Linked DNA regions of Callithrix jacchus. The protein of the gene in region 1 purifies or fractionates together with the protein of each later gene. This does not show direct contact. Links are inferred from orthologs where the notes say so. Each region holds a gene or a part of one and is shown on either strand. Other genes may lie near its edges.

The links.
Region 2: the proteins of SLMAP (region 1) and STRN purify together in Homo sapiens (affinity purification with mass spectrometry; 5 studies listed by BioGRID and IntAct, with this or other methods). This does not show direct contact. The link is inferred for Callithrix jacchus from reciprocal best matches to the Homo sapiens genes SLMAP and STRN.
Region 3: the proteins of SLMAP (region 1) and PDCD10 purify together in Homo sapiens (affinity purification with mass spectrometry; 3 studies listed by BioGRID and IntAct, counting the BioPlex papers as one, with this or other methods). This does not show direct contact. The link is inferred for Callithrix jacchus from reciprocal best matches to the Homo sapiens genes SLMAP and PDCD10.

What each region holds. Positions count from the first base shown.
Region 1 is NC_133516.1:39,558,641-39,564,511, reverse strand, and holds the start of SLMAP (sarcolemmal membrane-associated protein), read right to left. Parts: upstream 3,080-5,871; 5' UTR 2,726-3,079; coding exon 2,528-2,725; intron 1-2,527. Other genes in the region: uncharacterized protein LOC144579547, read left to right, coding at 3,080-4,069. UniProt on the Homo sapiens protein: Associates with the striatin-interacting phosphatase and kinase (STRIPAK) core complex, forming the extended (SIKE1:SLMAP)STRIPAK complex.
Region 2 is NC_133515.1:78,086,668-78,092,793, reverse strand, and holds part of STRN (striatin), read right to left. Parts: intron 4,922-6,126; coding exon 4,754-4,921; intron 2,122-4,753; coding exon 1,986-2,121; intron 1-1,985. UniProt on the Homo sapiens protein: Calmodulin-binding scaffolding protein which is the center of the striatin-interacting phosphatase and kinase (STRIPAK) complexes.
Region 3 is NC_133518.1:19,310,277-19,316,502, forward strand, and holds the start of PDCD10 (programmed cell death protein 10), read left to right. Parts: upstream 1-1,823; 5' UTR 1,824-1,911; intron 1,912-2,083; exon of another isoform or gene 2,084-2,258; intron 2,259-6,226. UniProt on the Homo sapiens protein: Promotes cell proliferation. Modulates apoptotic pathways. Increases mitogen-activated protein kinase activity and STK26 activity. Important for cell migration, and for normal structure and assembly of the Golgi complex.

The DNA.
Region 1 (5,871 bases):
GAAATAAACCATATCTACCCCTCAAAGATAAGGTTTTTTGAAAGAACAAATTTCATGGCCGGGCGTGGTGACTTACACCTTTAATCCCAGTCCTTTGGGAGGCCATGGCAGATGGATCACTTGAGGTCAGGAGTTCGAGACCAGCCTGGCCACGTGGTGAAACCCAGTATCTACTAAAAATACAAAACTTAGCTGGGCATAGTGGCACATGCCTATAATCCCAGCTACTCAGGAGGCTAAGACAGGAGAATCACTTGAACCCAGGAGCCAGAGACTGCAGTGAGCCAAGATCATTCCATTGCACTCCAGCCTAGGCAACAGAGTGAGATTCCATCTCAAAAAAAAAAAAATAACATATCATCTCAAATCATGAAACAGTCACTATTGATCTATTCTTAAGTATCTCAAAATAACCTATTGTGAGAGTTTTAGTACAGCCAATGGAAAAGACTATGTATGAAATCACTGTTTGTCAAATAAGTACAAGAAAAAATCTGAGTCCCCTTTGAGTGTTTAATCAAAGAAAGTGCATTTGCAGGAGGGGGTGCGGAAAAAAAAAAAGAAACTGTATTTGCAGAGTATGTCCTGTGAGCAAACCTGTTGTCTGATTAGTTTAGACCTGTTGCCCAAGGACACAAAATGGCAAAAATGTAAAAGCTGGTTGAATTAAGGCACTACCTAGTATGAAACTGATGTTTGAATTCAACTGCTAGAAAAATGGCGTCTATGAATATTCATTTTAAAGAATTATGAGAGCCAGGTGTCATGGCACACACCTGTAATCCCAGCACTTTGGGAGGCTGAGGTGGGGGGGGGGGGGAATCAACTGAGGTCAGGAGTTCGAGACCAGCCTGGCCAACATGGTGAAACCCTGTCTCTACTAAACATACAAAATTTAGCTGTGCATGGTGGCATACGCCTGTAATCCCAGCTACTTGGGAGGCTAAGGCAGGAGAATCAGAGGTTGATTCTCCTGGAAGGCAGAGGTTGCAGTGAGCTGAGATAGTGCCACTGCATTCCAGCCTGGGTGACAATAGCAAAAAATCTGTCTCAAAAAAAAAAAAGATTGCAAGTAAAAATCTGTCAAAAAAAAAAAAAAAATATATATATGTATATCAAGTAATCTATGAAGTATTTTAGGCACCCCTAACCAGCTTGGGGGAAGGGTCTGTTCCACAGGTAAATGAGGAACTGGTGTTACACAGAAAAGTTAACATACTCTTCAGTTCTCATGCTACACACACAATATAGATATTATGGAGCACACATAACTCGGACAGTCTTTTCCTCCTTTCTTTAAAAAATAATAAAATATTTCCTTAAATCAGTAGCTGCCAAAGTTATCATTTTTTTCTCTTCCTTTTGAGGCTCAGGTTTCTTTCACTTCAAAACATATTCTTGAAGACTTAAGTTCTTCCTTTAAGAAAGATTTAATTATTTAACTCAGAAAGAAGGGGCAAAAAGTCAGGAGGTGAAACCTGAGACAGTCCTATTAGTCTTACATAACTTAAAGTTGGAACTGATTCAGTAGCTCGGCTAAAAACCTGAGGTTTAGGCACTAAGACGAGCTCTTTAGTATACTCTCCACAAACATAAATAGTTTTTAAAAATGGAAATGATCCTATCTTTTTTCTTCATTCTTAAAAGCTCATACATGTATAGTAAGTCATGATACTAACGCAAAAATGCTAAAAATGGTTACACTTAAAATGAAAAGCACTGAATTCATCCTATCACATTTAAGTAACACTATAATTGAAAGACTAGGGTGTAATTTCAGAAAATAAGTTCACTTCCTAACACTAACTTTTGCATAGCACCTCTGTAAGTATGCAATAAGTACTTAATAAGTGCTGCAGGGAACATCAAAAAGTGATTTTCAAATGCAATATATGTATGTGCAACCAACTTGTAAAAAAAACTCTCAATATATATAAAGTACAGTTCTCATGCTTAATTAAATTAGCTTTGATTATTGCAAATGATTCCTTCAAGAGCAAGTATATAGCAAACCTTTCAAAAATCTTAGGTTTACACCAGCAACTGTCCTTACTTAGAAAGGTCTTGATCTGAACTCAACTAAAGCTATGTGTTAACTACATTTCACCACAAAGACACCTGAGCACCAGGGTAATAATGGCCACGGATTCCCCGAATTGCTTTGAGAACTGCTGCTTGCTTAATAAAGAGCTGAACTGTGAATTCACCTTTCTCAACAGACTGAAAGCAAGACGCCAAGTTTCACAATCTAGTTTGGGATTTCTCTGGGAATGACTACGTTATCAAGATGCCATAGCTCTCCTGAGGCTTTTAATTACAATACCTTCTCTGTTTTCCATTCAACCACCTCAATCAAATTTCCACTAGAACCAGGCACACAAACAGTTGATTCCTGGCTTTGCGCAAAGCCTCCTGTGGATGCAAAGCCTGGGATCCTGCAAAAGTCAGGCCTTTCAGGGAGGGCAAAGGTGGGGTGGGGGAGGAGTTTGTTAAACAATGCAGTTGGACAATGTGGTGGTGACATTACCTTGCCTGTCTTGTGATCAAACCAGACGAGAGCGTGGTTCCTTGACAGCACTTTGCAATCAAAAGTGGCATTATTCTGCGCTGGTCGACAGCGGGCCACTGAACGGCCGATTTTGATGGGCTCGTCCAGGTAGACATGACGCTCCTGAAACGGGTGCGAGTTTGGGCGGCAAGTGAAGATGGCCAAGGCTGACGGCATCGAGGATAGGCTTGGGGTGTCTCTCCTACCAGGGACAAAGAGGAGTTCCTCCGGATCCGGGCTGCCCTTCACAAGCCTATACCCCTATCCCACCCAAAATTTTAAATTAAAACAAACTGCACATTGTCTATGCATAACCAGTGAACATCAACAACTCTTCACTTGGGTGGGAAGACAAGCCAGCGCAAGCCCCATCACCTCCTCCAAAACCCAGCAGTGCCCTAATCACGAAAAGTCCCCAACGGGCAGCTTTCAGTCCATCTTCCTCTCTGGGAAGAAACGGCTCAAACATCGGGCAGCTTCGGCCAAGAAAACTCCTGGAGCACAGTTTGGGGACTGGAGGTATCCAAGCAGATGAGTCACACTCCAATTCTTGTGTTTGGTTTGAGATCGCGGCCGCTTTTCCCCCTCGGTGGCGGAAACGCTGCAGCACTGCAGCATGAAGGAAGGGTCGTGGTTCGGCGCGGCCAGGAAAGTCCTTTTGGGCCGAAGGAAGGTGTGGCCGGGCACCTCCGGGCAGCCACCGCCCGTGCTCGCCCGGAGTGGAGGGCGAGAGGTGACGGAGGCGGAGGGGCTCTAAACGGCCGGCGGGACAGTCTGCATCGCCCCTGCTGCGCGGAGGCCGCCCCGGGAAGGGGGACTCGGTCCCCGGCGTGGCGAGGCGGCAGTGCCTGGGGTCCTCAGCGCGAGGCGTGGGGGCCGGCGGGGCGCGAGCAGTGGCCAAGTCGGGACTCCTGGGCACCTGGCGGGTGTCCCCGCGACCAGGGCGGGGACCCGGCTCCGCAGGCCGGTGCGGACCGAGCGAGGCGCGACACCGGGAGGTTCGGGTTCTCGGGCGGCAGGAAGTTGGTCCCCGGACGCCTGGGCTCCTGGTCGCCGCCGCTCAGCACATGGGCCGCCTCCCCTCAGGGTCGCCCCCGCGAGGGTCGCATCTCAGGGACAGCAGTCGCAGCTCCGGGCGGACGAGAAGGTGGGGGAGGGAGACTGGCCCGGAGGTTAGGGAGAGGCCTGGAGGCCCCGGGCTGGGTCCGCCGCAGCCTCCACCGATCACGGCCAATGGAGCAAGCTCAAGCTGCGCCGGACGAGGCAGGAAACTTTCCGACCTGGTGGGGAAAATATCAAAACAAACGGCCGTCAGGCGCCTCAGCCCGCCCGCCTCAGCCCTCGCCCCCTCCAGCCAGACCCCCGCCAGCTCCCACCGCTAGGCATGACCTCCGCCGACCTCTCCACAAGCGGGCTGCGAGGATTTGGAGGCAGGACGCCACGACGGGTTCTACCTCCCTAGCCGCCACCGCCGCCTCAGCTTACCTTGCCAGCGCCGGCCGCCATAGTGACTCTGACTGAAACCTACCGGGTACACCGCCACGGGAACGCGCTCCCTTCAAGGGCCCTCCTACCCCCTCTCCCGCGCCGTAGTCCAGGAATGTCACGTGAGCGACGCCACGGAAGCCGTGTTGGTCGAGGGCAGAAAAACGGGCAAGCTAATTTCTAACGCGCCTCTAGGCGCCATCTTATTTAAGGGCTGGAAGCTTCAAACCTCGGGACAACCACAACGACCATTTTCGTTAAGGGCAAGAACAATTCGCGCGCTAGAAGATTTTCGAAACAAACCGTGCCACCTTCTTATTTTATCTACTTGGAAAGGAGATGCCAACCTTTGCTAAATTTTATTCGCTTTAATCCTCGATGAAAATACTAGTGAGCAAAAAGCAGAGGCGGCCAAAGGAGATGGTCATAAGCAGCCATCTTAGCTGTGGGCAACAGAGTCGCCCGCAGCCACCTTAAGTGTGAGCAGCCAAATTCCCTCAAGTCTTAGGATGTTCGCCTAACCGAAGGACCATCCTCCCCTCTGCTAAAGTTTTCTCTGTGTTTTCTTCCCGGAAAAAAAACGCTTAGTTCCCGCATTACGCTTCGAAAGACAGCCCTTCTCACCGGACCTCGTATGTGCCCCAGGGCTCCTACGCGGATTCTTCCACAGAAGGAGCGTGCAGAGAGTTTAAAATAGTGTTGCTTCCAAAGAGAGATTGAACAATTTCCAAAACGAAGAAAGGGGGTACTGCCCCCACTTACTATCAAGATGAGGAGTCATTGGTCTAAAGAAGAAAGACTGCAAAAGCTAAATGAAAACGTCAAGAAAAGATAGGAGTCTTACTCATTTAGAGTCAAAGGTGACTTCATTCTTCAGATTCCTGCGACAACAGGCTCCACCACTGTGTGACCTTAAGCAAGTTTCTAAACTTTTTCAAGCCTCTTTTTTCTCATCGATGACATGGAGATAATAGCTAACTGACTTGTGGTGAGATTTCAAAGTGTTAATCCATGTTGTTCAATAAGGAGTAGCAATTATTCATTTCAATACTTATATATAGACAGTTTGGCCCCCTAGGTTTTTGATGGGCCCTGGGGACCCACAGGTAAACCAAACTTTAATTCCAGCCTTCTGAGAGCATAACGGTATGGTGGGTCAGAGATGGGGGTAGGGAGTGACAAACATAAAATTGATGTAATCAGGCACTAGCTGCTAAAGGGGTCAGGGATGGTCTGGGCGACGTAACCGAATTGAATGAAGGAAGATAGGAAAACCATAATAAATATGGTATTCGCCGAATAGTTTCATAAATTTCCACGAACACGGGACAGCAAGGAAAGAAAGGAGGCTACTTGAAGCAATGCACCAATGTGCAGGCACGTAATGAGGTTAAATAAGTATTTGGTCCATGAATGAAAATTACAGACTGTTATTATTAGAGAATAAATTAGGAAGGGCACAAAGTGAGTCTGGAAAGAATAGGCATTATATTATAAAGACATCATATTCGTTTTTCAGGCTCTTCATCAATTCAACAAATACGTGTCAAGCTGCTACTGTGTTCCAGGTATGCTGTTGTGGAGAAAAACAAAGGTATGTTGGAAAGCTTTCTTATGAGAGGATGAAAAGTTTTCACTTCTTAATTTTTAGGCTGTTATAGAATAAGGTAAGATAGGACCCTCCACAGATCCCTACTGAGTTTTTTGCATGAATAGCAAGTCATTTATGCATTCTTTCATGCATTCATTCTATACATATTTAATTGAATGTCCACTGCGAAATAGATATTTTGAAAGGTCCTGGAAATACAATAATGAAGAAACAAAAAGACTCCCTC
Region 2 (6,126 bases), on another chromosome or scaffold:
GCTTGACATTTTAATAGGATAACTTTTAGCTTTCCCTATAGAATGCAATAAATTTTCTGTTATGCTTATTCACTGCTACACAGAACTAGATCTTTAAAGTGCTTTTGGCATGTAGCTATTTTTACTATAGCTGGAAAATTAATGTAATATAATGTAAAAATAAGCAAAACTGTTAAAACCAGTGATTAATTTGCTTAAAAATATTTTTTTCTAAAAAACTAAAAAAGTTTTTCAGTGCAATAGCATGATCATGGCTCACTGCAACATCAAATTCCTGGTCTCAAGCGATCCTCCTTCCTCAGCCTCCTGGGTAGCTGGAACTACAGGTGTGTGCTATTGTACACCGCTAATTAAAAAAAAAATTTTTTTTGAGATGGAGTCTTGCTATGTTGCCTAGGCTGGTCCCAAACTCCTAGCCTCAAATGATCCTCCCACTTCAGCCTCCTGAGTAGCTGGGATTACAGGCACAAGCCACTGCACCCAGCACAGAACTGCTATGATCTGTACTAATTAGAAGACAGTATATTTATTATGCCTGTGGGTTAGGAATCTCTAATAAAATCATATGTAATAGTTTTAATATTTATGAACTTTTAAAATATTTAAATTAATATCACTAACTTACAGAAACATATAGCATCATGATTCAAGGCATTATTTAATACTGAGCTATGAATAAAGTATTTTGATGGAAAAATAATATCTCAATGCAGTCATCCCATAGAATTAACAAGGAGTTACACAATTTCCAGATGATTAGGGTACAGAAAAAGTGTCACAGAAGTTTAGGCTTTGCCTTTTACTACGGTAAATTAAGACACATGCTATTACTACCGGTTTGGATAAGAACAATTGTAAGTTACTACTTGAAGTTCAAATAATTTCCATGGCAGTGCTGTATTAGCAAAGTACTACTGAATAGTGGTCAAGGAAAATAATAATCTCGCAGTAATAATTTGAAAGTCTCTGATGGAGCCCAAGAAGCAGAAGGCATAAAAAACAGAGAGGTTACACTTAAAAAGCACTTTGTAAGTTAAATAGATCATTTTCGCACATAGTGTCTCTTTATTCCTCACAAAATCCTCCATGGTAAACATGGTTATTTATTACAATCCACATTTTACAAATGAAAAAACTAAGCCTGAAGCATTAAGAAACACAAATAGTGGCAGAACTGGAGCTTAACCACAGTCTTTTAGCTAGAGGTCCAATCGGCTTTATATTACTTTACTTTCCTTTCTATTCACAAATAAATGTGAAAGAAGAGAAATGTAAACATTTTCCTAGACAAAGCAAAATATGTCCTCATCTCTTACTTAAAAAAGAATGAAAAGGAGTAGGAGAAAGAAGGAAGAAGTGAGAGAAGGGAGAAGGGGAGAAAAGTAAAGACAGAGAAGGGGAAAGAGGGAAGAAGAGAAGAAAATAGAGAAGGGAAGAGAAAGAAGAAGTGGCTACTAAGAGACATCTCTCATTCCAAGAAACTGCCATGGGAAAGTCAATAATCTTATAAACTTCTGAACAAAACTTGAGAAGAACCCTACACAATTGTGAAGAAATCTAATGGAAGAGTTCTGAAAGTCTGCAGAATTTGTCTACCAAAACAATCCTGACAAGACAAAAACTGCATATATTAGAGGTGATGCTAGTCACCATCAGGCACCATAATGTGTCTGTCAGTTCTATTCTCTTATAGCAACCAATAACCCTGTATTGTTATAACACACAGTATTTACTATATTCATCTGCCCCATAGAAAACTGTCCTGTTCAATGAATGAACAAAAAATCAAACAGTGAGGAATTTCAAGAGAAAGCTACTATACAAAAAATATTCTTAATTTGAAATCAATATAAAAAACTTGCCCCAAATTTATGAAAATGAAAAAGCTAGGGGTTAAGATTAAAGAACATGGATTATTTTATGCATTATGTAGTATGTATTACAGTCCCTAAAAATATTAATATTGTATGAGTTATCTAACTCACTGTTGAAGTATCAATGATGCTTTTCTCTCTTCCATCAACATCATCATCTTCATCTTCATCACTGAAATCTGCAGCTGCACTTTCAAGGAATTTGAAATTATCCAGCACGGAGGCAGAATCTGTTAACTCAGATTTTCTGGTGTAAAACATGTATATCCTGCTTAGTTAATCTTTTTAACTTCAATATAAGAATTAACCCATGATATGTCGCATTAACTTCTGTTTATATGGTAACTATAAATCCCAAATCACATTATCTACATTGATTCTTATTAATTACATTCTCACAGATAAATTTAAAAAGCAATACAGGCTGTAGATACTCTTTTAAGTACTTTGTAATCCTATCTACCTACCTACCACTCTGTTGCCCAGGCTGGAGTGCAGTAGCATGATCTAATTCACTCCAACCTCTGCCTCCCAGGTTCATGCAATTCTTCAGCTTCAGCCTCCCAAGTAGCTAGGATTACAGGGGGGAGCCACCACGCTCAGCTAATTTTTCTATTTTCAACAGAGATGGGGTTCCACTATGTTGCCCAAGCTGGTCTCTAACTCCTGAGCCCAAGTGATCCACCCACCTCAGCCTCAGCCTCCCAAAGTGCTGGGATTATAGGCGTCATAAGCCACCATGCCTGGCCACTCATATTTACTTAAATTAGTGGTAATCTAATGTAAAGAACTCCCCTTCCTGATTCAGTATTATTTTGATCCTTATACCAATCTTAATGTATTTTTTTAAAAAATATGTTTATTATCTCTACCTCCATTTTTCTCTACTCTTATCCTCTCTGCAACTTTCTTTGACCTCTTACATAAGTTTCCACAACTAAGAAAATAACAAATATGTCATTTTTCTCTGATACAATCTTGTATTTCGGCTCTAGAACTAAAGTAAAAGAGAAAATGTATACATAAAGTTACTAACAGCAATACACTAGTCAAATTAACATTATTTTAAGACTTGACCCTGTTGATTAATAAACGATTAATATTTTAGAAATAATTGAATTTTCAAATATATGACTTGAATTTAGTTCCCTCAAAATAAATGTATTAAAGGTTCCAATGGCCAGAACAAAAAGATTTCTCTCCAGTTCATCAGGTAATCTTTTAGACAGAGCATTTTCTCGAAGGAAAATATATATATATATATTTTATATATATATAAAAACTACTATGGACAAAATTTTCAAAACAGATCTATCTTAAATTTCAAATCTGCTTAGAGCTTTGTGTTTGGTTATCACCCTCTCCTAACCCTTTATCCCTACTGAAATCTGACAGATTAGCAGCAATAGCCTGGTCATTCTTAAAGGACAGATCAAGGTCAAAACACACACGAGTGGTCTTCCCTGAAAGTCTTTACTGAAGGTTATTAAAGTATGCATTATAGCTCTTAAAAACATTTATACTATCAGCCAGGCATGGTGACTCATGTCTCTAACCCCAACACTTTGAGAGGCTGAGGTGGGCAGATCACGAGGTCAAGAGATCAACACCATCCTGGTCAAAATGGTGAAAACCCGTCTCTACTAAAAATAACAAAAATTAGCTGGGCATAGTAGTACATGCCTGTAGTCCCAGCTACTCAGGAGGCTGAAGCAGAAGAATCACTTGAACCCGGGAGGCAGAGGTTGCAGTGAGCCAAGATGGCATCACTGCACTCCAACCTGGAAACAAAGAAAACGTCTCAAAAAAAAAAATTATACTATCTAAGTTAACTTGATGACTTATGTTGACCCATAACATAAAAATAGATAATGTCCACACGGCCTTCGTCTATACAGAGAAATACCATGCCTTACATTTACAAATACAAGTTAATGTACTTTTTCAATGTAGCTTTAAAAGTTGGAAATGTATTCTTAATTATTAACGAATACATTTTAGAAGGCTTCACAGACCTTTGTTTATAAAAGTACCACAGTGAACCTTTACCTAATCCCATAATTTTAGTTTATATTCCAAATAACAGGAACTATCTTCTCACCAGAAAATTTATAGAGCTCAATTAAAACCATTCTTCCTTCCTAAACAAGTGTCAAAATAAAAACCATACTAAGACATTCACAGAATTTTTGACTTTTTATTCAAGTAATAATCATGGAAGTTTTTTTCCAATAAAGAAAAATCTCTTTATTGATCTGTTTATGCTTATTTTAAGTAGAATTATATATGATTGTATGATACATAATCCAAAATGGAAAACAAAATATTTCAAATAGCTAATGAATTTTTCACACTTACACTGTCACTTGTAACACATATTTTATATCAAAGGAAAGATAAATTACAGCATTATGAGATAAACAAAAGTGGCTAAAAGCAGGGTTACTTCTAAATAATTTGAGGTACTTTTGTGATTTCTGGATCACCAGTCATGAAATTTTGTTCTTACATATTGTACTGAATTTCCAAACAAAATGTTTTCTGAACTTTTATTTAGTGATTAGGACAATATACTAAAATTTGTATTAATACATAATTATGATTATGTATTTATTACATATATTATTATGTATATTTATGTATTAATACATAAATACATAAATTTGAAGCAAATATCATAATAGTATTCTTGAATTAAAATAGAATAACTCCAATCCTTATGTGTTAACTTCTAACCAAACAAAATTTTAGAATTTTTATTAAATTATAATTTAATTATTTCTATGTCACTACCTGAAAGTACAAATAATGCCCATAAAACCAAAAATATTTAATAAGAACTAATTATAGCTAAAACACTTCCCAGACAAAATACTTACCCAATCATTGCTGTCTCTTTAATTTCAGCCTCTGTGCCATTTACAACTGAGTCCTGATTTTTGTCATCTTCCCTGTCAGTGACATCACTTGAAAAGCCCAACAAAGCTCGCACTCGTTTAGATTTCACATCTAGAATAGTATCTGTATAACCCACCTCCTGTAGATACCTGTGTGAAGAGGATCCTTACAGTTCAGTCATACTGGAATCAGTATTCTATAATTTAATATATAAATAAAAGCATTTATTTAAACTCATTGCCCACATAAAACTTAACAGTACAGTACTATGCTAGTAAGACTTAATAAATAATCTTCCAGCTGCAGATGGAGCTGTCTCTTGCAGTACCAGCCTCTACAGTCACTGAGAAAAATGAGAGAACCATACAATACACCATTCATTACATTTACCATAAGAAGAAGCTGGTCTTTAATATATCTAATAGCACATTCTTTCCTTTAGGCTAGATTGGAGCTAGCTCACTCCCAGACTCTACCAAATTAGTATTTTATAATAGTTATTCCAATAGTTTTTTTTTTTTTACATTTGTCATGTATCAATTGTTTGTGATATAGACAGAATGTTCCTAGCATATATGGTCTCCTTCATTACACACAAGAAGGGAGGATTTCTTGAGTCACCTCTACAGTATAGAAGCTTCTATCCCAAGACAACTTTAAAATAAAAATAGACCGCAATTAAATTGTGGCATGTAGGGGGTGTGGACACACATGTGTGTATGTTACTGAAAGGCAGTGGCAAAGAAAAAGAGCAAAGGCTTTGTACTGAGAGCTAGGTCTAGGTCCTATTTCTGCCACTTACTTGCATAACTTTAATTCTCCTGAACCTGTTTTCTATCCCCTAAAACAGACATACCTAATATTGTACTTGGCATATAAAACGCATTCAATACATATTAACAGGAAAGTTGACCAAAAAAGGCCCAAGTGGCAGTGGCAGGACCATGAAAATGGTAAATGCCATTAGTAAACATGATAGACAAACACTAGACAAACTTATAAGCAGGCACTGAGTCTACTGGATGAAAGAAGAAAACAAAGGTTGATGAGATAAGCAGTTTAAATTAAGTTTATTGCAAGATTTGGTCTTGGTTATTACAGTTGAAAGACCTATCTCAAAAATATACGTGATCAAAGGGAGTAAGTTTATCTTATCAGATCAAGATGCTCATTTTTCAATCCTATCCGATATTTATAGAAAGGTCTCAATTAAAATTTAGATAATAAATTCCCAAATTCCCTAAATTTAAAGTTCTTCTTGAAAACTGCTTCAAAGATGTTATATTTTTCCATTTTTAACAATAATATTTGAGACATACCTCACTTTGGCAACAAAATCATATTACAAATACCT
Region 3 (6,226 bases), on another chromosome or scaffold:
ACTATTATTTTATGACACTACATGTTTTAAATCTGAACCCACTATCATAACACATATTAAGGGTAATCTTTAAGTGCATACTCTCTAACCAGAGAAAAGATTCCCATACAGCTTTCTATGCACTCTTGTTTTTCAAATGTACACATATTATCAGACACAAATGAGAGAATAAGGAGCAGCAGTGAAGTACACCATATGTTCCCATTGTACGCTGAATCCAGGTCTTTGTTCCAATATTACAGAGCCACTGGAAAGAAAGCTAACTATCCATTCATTAAAATTCATTTTTACATTATTGCTGGCAAAAGTTACACTTTTGATAGATTAAGTCAGAGCCCATCCTATCCTGACTATTCCTGCCTGCATTTGCTTCTTTAAAACGGATCTCTTGCAATTCTAGGAACCTGCAAAATAACTACTCTGGATAACAGGTCGGTAGCAGGACAATCTGATAAACCAATGTAAAGGGTAGACACTGAAGAAGAACGCAAAGTTCTTTTCCTAGTGAAATAGTTCGGAAGTCATTCTATATCAATAGCACAATTTTTCCTTTTTAGAGGCTACGCACCTATAACATCCACCAGATAACATCCACCTCATCCTCTATTAGCAGGGTTTTTCTCAATCTTGAGATCTCCCAGAACAGTTGTACTGGTGCGACTCAAACCAAAAACACTAACCACGCCCTTTATGCCCAGAATCAAGCTTCCTTTTGCTTTTTTGCTCTTAAAGTCCAAAAATGTAAATCTTTCACCCGAGAGGGTTTGCACCGGTTTCCTAACCCAAGGCGGACTCTTATAGCTGTGTCTTGTAATTCCCATTGGAAAACATTTCCTCCAGGGCAGTGCAGACGCCCCGAAGAAGGACCCCCCCCCGCCCCGCGCTTACCTCCCACACACCTGCAACCCCTGTCAGGATTCTGGAGCTGGTGCCGGGAGGGCTGCGCTCCGCTCCGCGCTCGTTCCTGCTTTCGTCTCTCCCGGGAAACTACAGCCCAGACTGCGCCTCCGGCTTCTACGGGGACCCAAGCTCCGCCTCCCTGTCCTCCAGTTGGCGAATTTGGCAGCTGTTGCTCCTCCCCCTGCTGTTTCTGCAGCTGCCCGGGCCAGAGGCAGCGGAAAGCAGCTGCCTTGGTACCTTCCCGCTCCCCGCACTTCTGCAGCTGCTCTGCTACTTCCTCTCCCCTGGGGGGGGTCCCTCTCCCCTCCTCTGTGGCCTCACACCTGGAGCTGCCTCTGGCCCCACCCAGGCGTCTCTGCCGGGAGCCCCGGCTCAGCCGATCCCTCCCCGACCCGTGGGTCAGGTTCCCCGGCGTGCGTGGGGCTTAGCTGCTCTTGGGGAAGCTGCCCCTCCGTCCAGTGCAAGTCCCTACACCAAGCCCTTCCTTCACCCGGGAGATTTCCCGGAGGCTTCCTCTCTACCCGCAAGGCATACTCAGCCCGATAGCCCCACGTTCCCCACCACGGGCCCCTCACCCACTTCCTTCCTCGGTTCGGTCAGCCCGCCCCCTCAATGGGTGAGGCGCCTGCCGGCCCGACCCCGCACCCTGATTGGCGCAGGTGAGGGTTTGCCCCGCCCTTCCTCTCCTATCCGTGCACCATCTCTTTTCTTCTCACCTCCTCCCGCAAAGGAAGGGAACTATCCTGCTATTGGCTAGGAGTGTCCCCACCCATCACCTCAGGCTCCCCCGCACGGCCTGCCGGTAAGTGTAGTCTTCCGAGTGCAGGAATTACGGACAACACCGGCAAGCAGGACTACGAGTCCCCATAGGCCTCTGCGCGACTCCGACTGGGCAGGATTCCGGACAACGCCTGGTTCCTCTCGGGTCCTTCCGGCGTCGCCGGAGTGAATTGATCCGGGAGTTGAAGAGGGCTGCAAAGGTGGGAAGTGAAGTCAGTGCCTCAGTTGCTGGTAAGATGTAGCTGTTCTGTCCCAGTCCCCGTAGCTCTCCACTGAGCAGAAGAGGTCTAGGGTCACGTAGGGGCCATAGCTGAGGCACTCGGGCTTGGTTCTGGCAGGCGGAGCGGACGGGGCTGGGAGCGGGGCCCTACGGGCGTAAGCGAGGTTACCCTACGCGAGTGGCGTAAAGCCGGTTTGTAAATGCCGCCTGCGGGCTTGGGCCCGAACGCCTCCAGGAAGTCTCCTTTGGGTGGGGGCGGGAGGGGAAAGGCGAGGTTGGCCCCTGGTGCCCCAGGAGCAGGGAGAGGGCGGATGTGCCTGGGGTGGGGTTCTTTAAAGGTGTGGCTTCGGACGGAGAGGTGAGGCTGTTGTTTTCCCCTTGCTTTGTAAGAGAAAGGGAGGAGGAAGGAAAGGGTGCTTGGGAGTCTGCTCTTGGGGTGACTAGGGTTATGCCCTTTGAGGGAAGAGGAGCACTGGAAGAAGGAAGAGACAAATGTTGTGGTCTACGGATTCAGTTCCAGTTTAATGATGTGGCTCCTCTAAGGAGGTAATTTTGCCTTAAACAGAAAGGCTTGACCCTCTTAGGTGTCATACCTAAGGTATGTTTACTCTTTTACTGCTTTCAGAGCGCTTTCATGTTGGGATGCTGATGAGGAAACCGAGGGATTATATGACGTGCCCAAGGTCACACACGGAGGGACAGACTTTCTCAATCTAGTCTGGTTCGAGTCCAGCTTCTAAACCAGAGCTGCTGCCCGACAGAGAAAGATTGGGGATGTTGGTTGTGTTTTTTGAAAAGGGTGGAGGAAGTTGCAAAGTAAATGTATTTCATATAGTACATCTAAGAAGCCATTGTGAGATGAAAAGTTGTTTCTTGAACTGAAGTGAAATTCCTCAATAAAGGAAAGAACCTTTTGGAAAAAATAAAAAGGGTCAATTTCAACTTTTACAGATTTTCCCCCTTTTATTGGGGGTGTATTAAAATATATTCTATTCTCACAGTTCATTTTTAAGGGTAGGTAAAGGGATGGGTGAACAACAGTTAAACAATGTATCCCTTCCTTAATAGAATATTCTTTTTCTACCTTAGGACTCTTTTTACTCTCATTTTGTAAAACTGATAATAGTGGGATTGGAATTCTTTCACAAGACTTCACACCTTTTCCAAATAATGTAGCCTTAGGAGAGTTTAATGTGCTTATTACTAGAAAAGAAGGTATTTTGCATTTCTTAGAGGTAAGATCCTATCGTTTGAGATTTTACTTTTCCCCCATTTTCTTGACTCTAGGCTCTTTGTGTATGTGTGTGTCTGCAAATAATAAAATCAGACTCTTGCATATTTTTTTCTTAGCATCATCTGTGACTTTTAAGTCATTCTTGTTTTACATTAAAGAATTTTTAAAAGTACGCTTATATTTTATATCTTGGAGAAAGTAGTGCCCTGTGCCAGTCTTATCCGCTATAATTGTTATGACCAGTTATATCTCATGACTGTTATTACTGGGTAAGTTTTTAAGGGAATTGTAATAGAATTCATTGATGGTAGAATTTCTTTGTTTTAACTTTAGATCCATAAAGGTTAGCATGTAGAAAATCATGGCTTATTCTTAGCATGTAGTAAGTCATAGGTTACTGTTTTATAGACAAGTTGATCATTCGACTATGCTGAATTTTGAATGTACTCTGCAATTATTTTAGTATCAACAATGTGCTTCACTTTTTAATGCAAAAATATTTTTTCGGAACAGAGATATGTTCCTGGATGATTGAAATTAAGATGGTCTGGAAATTAATGCGATTTTAAAATAGAAAAATTATGGTGCTATAGAATGAAGTAAAATCAGGAATAATGTGCCATGAGTAATAATAGTACACAGACAAGAAAGAATCAGTTAAACAAATGAAACATTGTGTGAAGATAATTGACTTCTTTATTAAGAAGGATTAATAATCCTTAATCTTGCTGGATTAAGAAGGCTGCGGTAGTGTAAGTAGACCATAAACTGAACATGTATCATTGATGGTAAAGCAAGAATATTAATGTATTTTCTAGATGACAGTGTAGGTATTTGCCTTTTGTTGAAGGAGGTATAAAATGAGTTCTAACCTTTGGCATGTAGCTATGTCATTATGGAAAGAGCTTTTGAACTGTGAGGAAAATTTGGAAATAAGTTAATATAATGCATTTGTTCAGTGTATTTTAGATTTCGTTTTCTTGTTTCAGTTCTAACACTAATTTCTCTTTATCTCTGAGGCCAGTTATAGTTTCGGCATTTCTTCTCCTGGGCTGGTGGATTAATGTTTGTATTGTATTTATCATCTTTCAGTCAGTCACATGCTGGAGTATCATGGTCACTTTAGATCTCTGCACCTTGGTTGGATAGTTAAAGAGTTCACAGAGTTATATATACACATGTATTCTAAGCGTAGTTTGCAGCTCACCAGTGTCTGCATTTCTTCTCATTTTGGGCTTTGCAGAAGCCTTATATCAGCTTCGGGACATTATTTCTCATAGGACTTAAGATGTCTTCCATGTATTATACATCTGTCTTTTTCTTTAAGGATGTAAGGTCTGTAAGAACAGGTGCTGTGTATTATTTATCACTGTAGTCACAATAGGTAAGATAATATTTACAAAGAGAATGAAGAGGCTCAAGTAGGTTAAGTAACTTGCCCAAGGTCATGCAACTACTTAACTGGTGGGAGCAAGACAAAATTGAGATCTTCTGACTACAGATCTTTAATATTGTGGAGTAGAGACTTAGTTCCCTTATTTACATGAGAAAAAGACTTAATGTGACTTAAATATTCAAATACTATTACCCACTTACTCTGTTTAACACTAAAAATTTATCTCTTCTCCTATCCAGCTCTCCATCCTTACCTCCAGCCTTTTTCATTTATGATGCCTTTCGCTTACTGCATAAGCTGCTTCCTGACATGGTGGTCTTTACATATTCCATCTCACTCCTTGGACAGTTCAACTCTTACCTTCCTAAATGTGGCCACCTGGTAGTCAGTTTTCATGTCTCAATTTAAATATCATTCCTCAGGGGAGCCTTGCCTTCCTACCCAAAACCAGCACAGGTTGCCCCTGTGTATTCACCATACTCTACACCTTTGTGGCATCATCATAATAGAAACTTAATTATTTCTGTTTTTATTTGAACAAATATTTGTGTGCTCATTGAACTATAAGCTACCTGAGCAGTGCCCTCTCATTTGTCATGTTTTACCCCAACACATATGTAGTACCTGGCACAATGTAAGGGTTCAGTAAATATTTGCTGAATGAATGAAGGAGTATATTCATGCACAATGCTTCCAGCACTTTTCTGGGGACAGAAATATAGAAATGAATAAAGTAGATAGGCTTTATGGATTGAAATATATAAGAACTTTAAAATGAGCTATGTAACACTTAGGCAACTTAGGTTATATGCAAAGGAGTCATTGACAGAATTTTAATATAAACTTTAGAAAAATGTGTATTTTTGGAGGTCTCTGAAATCAGGAATAATTTTCTAAATGAAAATGATAAAGGAATCACGTTCATTTACAGCAAAATTACTGTGTAACACAGCATTTTAGAGACTTACCACTGTCCTGCTTTTTTGCAGGTAATATTCATTGTATAAAATATAGGCATGGACTACAGACTTTAGACTGTAGACTAAAATATAGACTTCTATTGACTCTTCTTTCCTAGTGTTATCTCATTTTGTCCTCAAAACTTTTATCTCCTCTAAGTAGTAATATTAACACTGTTTCGTAGCTGAAGACATCAAGAAAATAAGTAAATTTACTTATTAAACGCAAAAAAGTTTAAATTGCTAGGGTTTCCAGAAAGTAGGTACTAGAACCACGGTTAGACTCTGGATCTGTCTCCGCATTCTAAAATCCATGCTTTTTCCTTTTTCTTTGCTTTTGTTTGTTTGTTTGTTTCTTTTAAACCATGCTGTCTTCCTGTGACTTAGACCTTTAATGTCACTTGATTTAGACAAGGTGGCTTTGTAAAATTTAGTAGTTTTTGTTTCAAAGGAACTTATATTTGGGGTTTTCTGAAAATTTTTGTAGTGCTAAAGTGAATCTTACTTGCTTTAAACCTATAGACTTAAGTATAAAAAGATCATCATTTTTAAAACACGCAAGCTGAATTTTAGGGATAAATTGTGTTAGGTTTTGGTCTTGAAAACAAATTCTGTAGTTACTTGCTGTACCACAGTATGGTCTAGAATAAGGTCGATAGCCCTGTATTTCTGTAGCCTTGTATGCCTTTATGAATTTACCTGTTTACTCTTTCATAAGATCTTGTCAAAAAGAGATT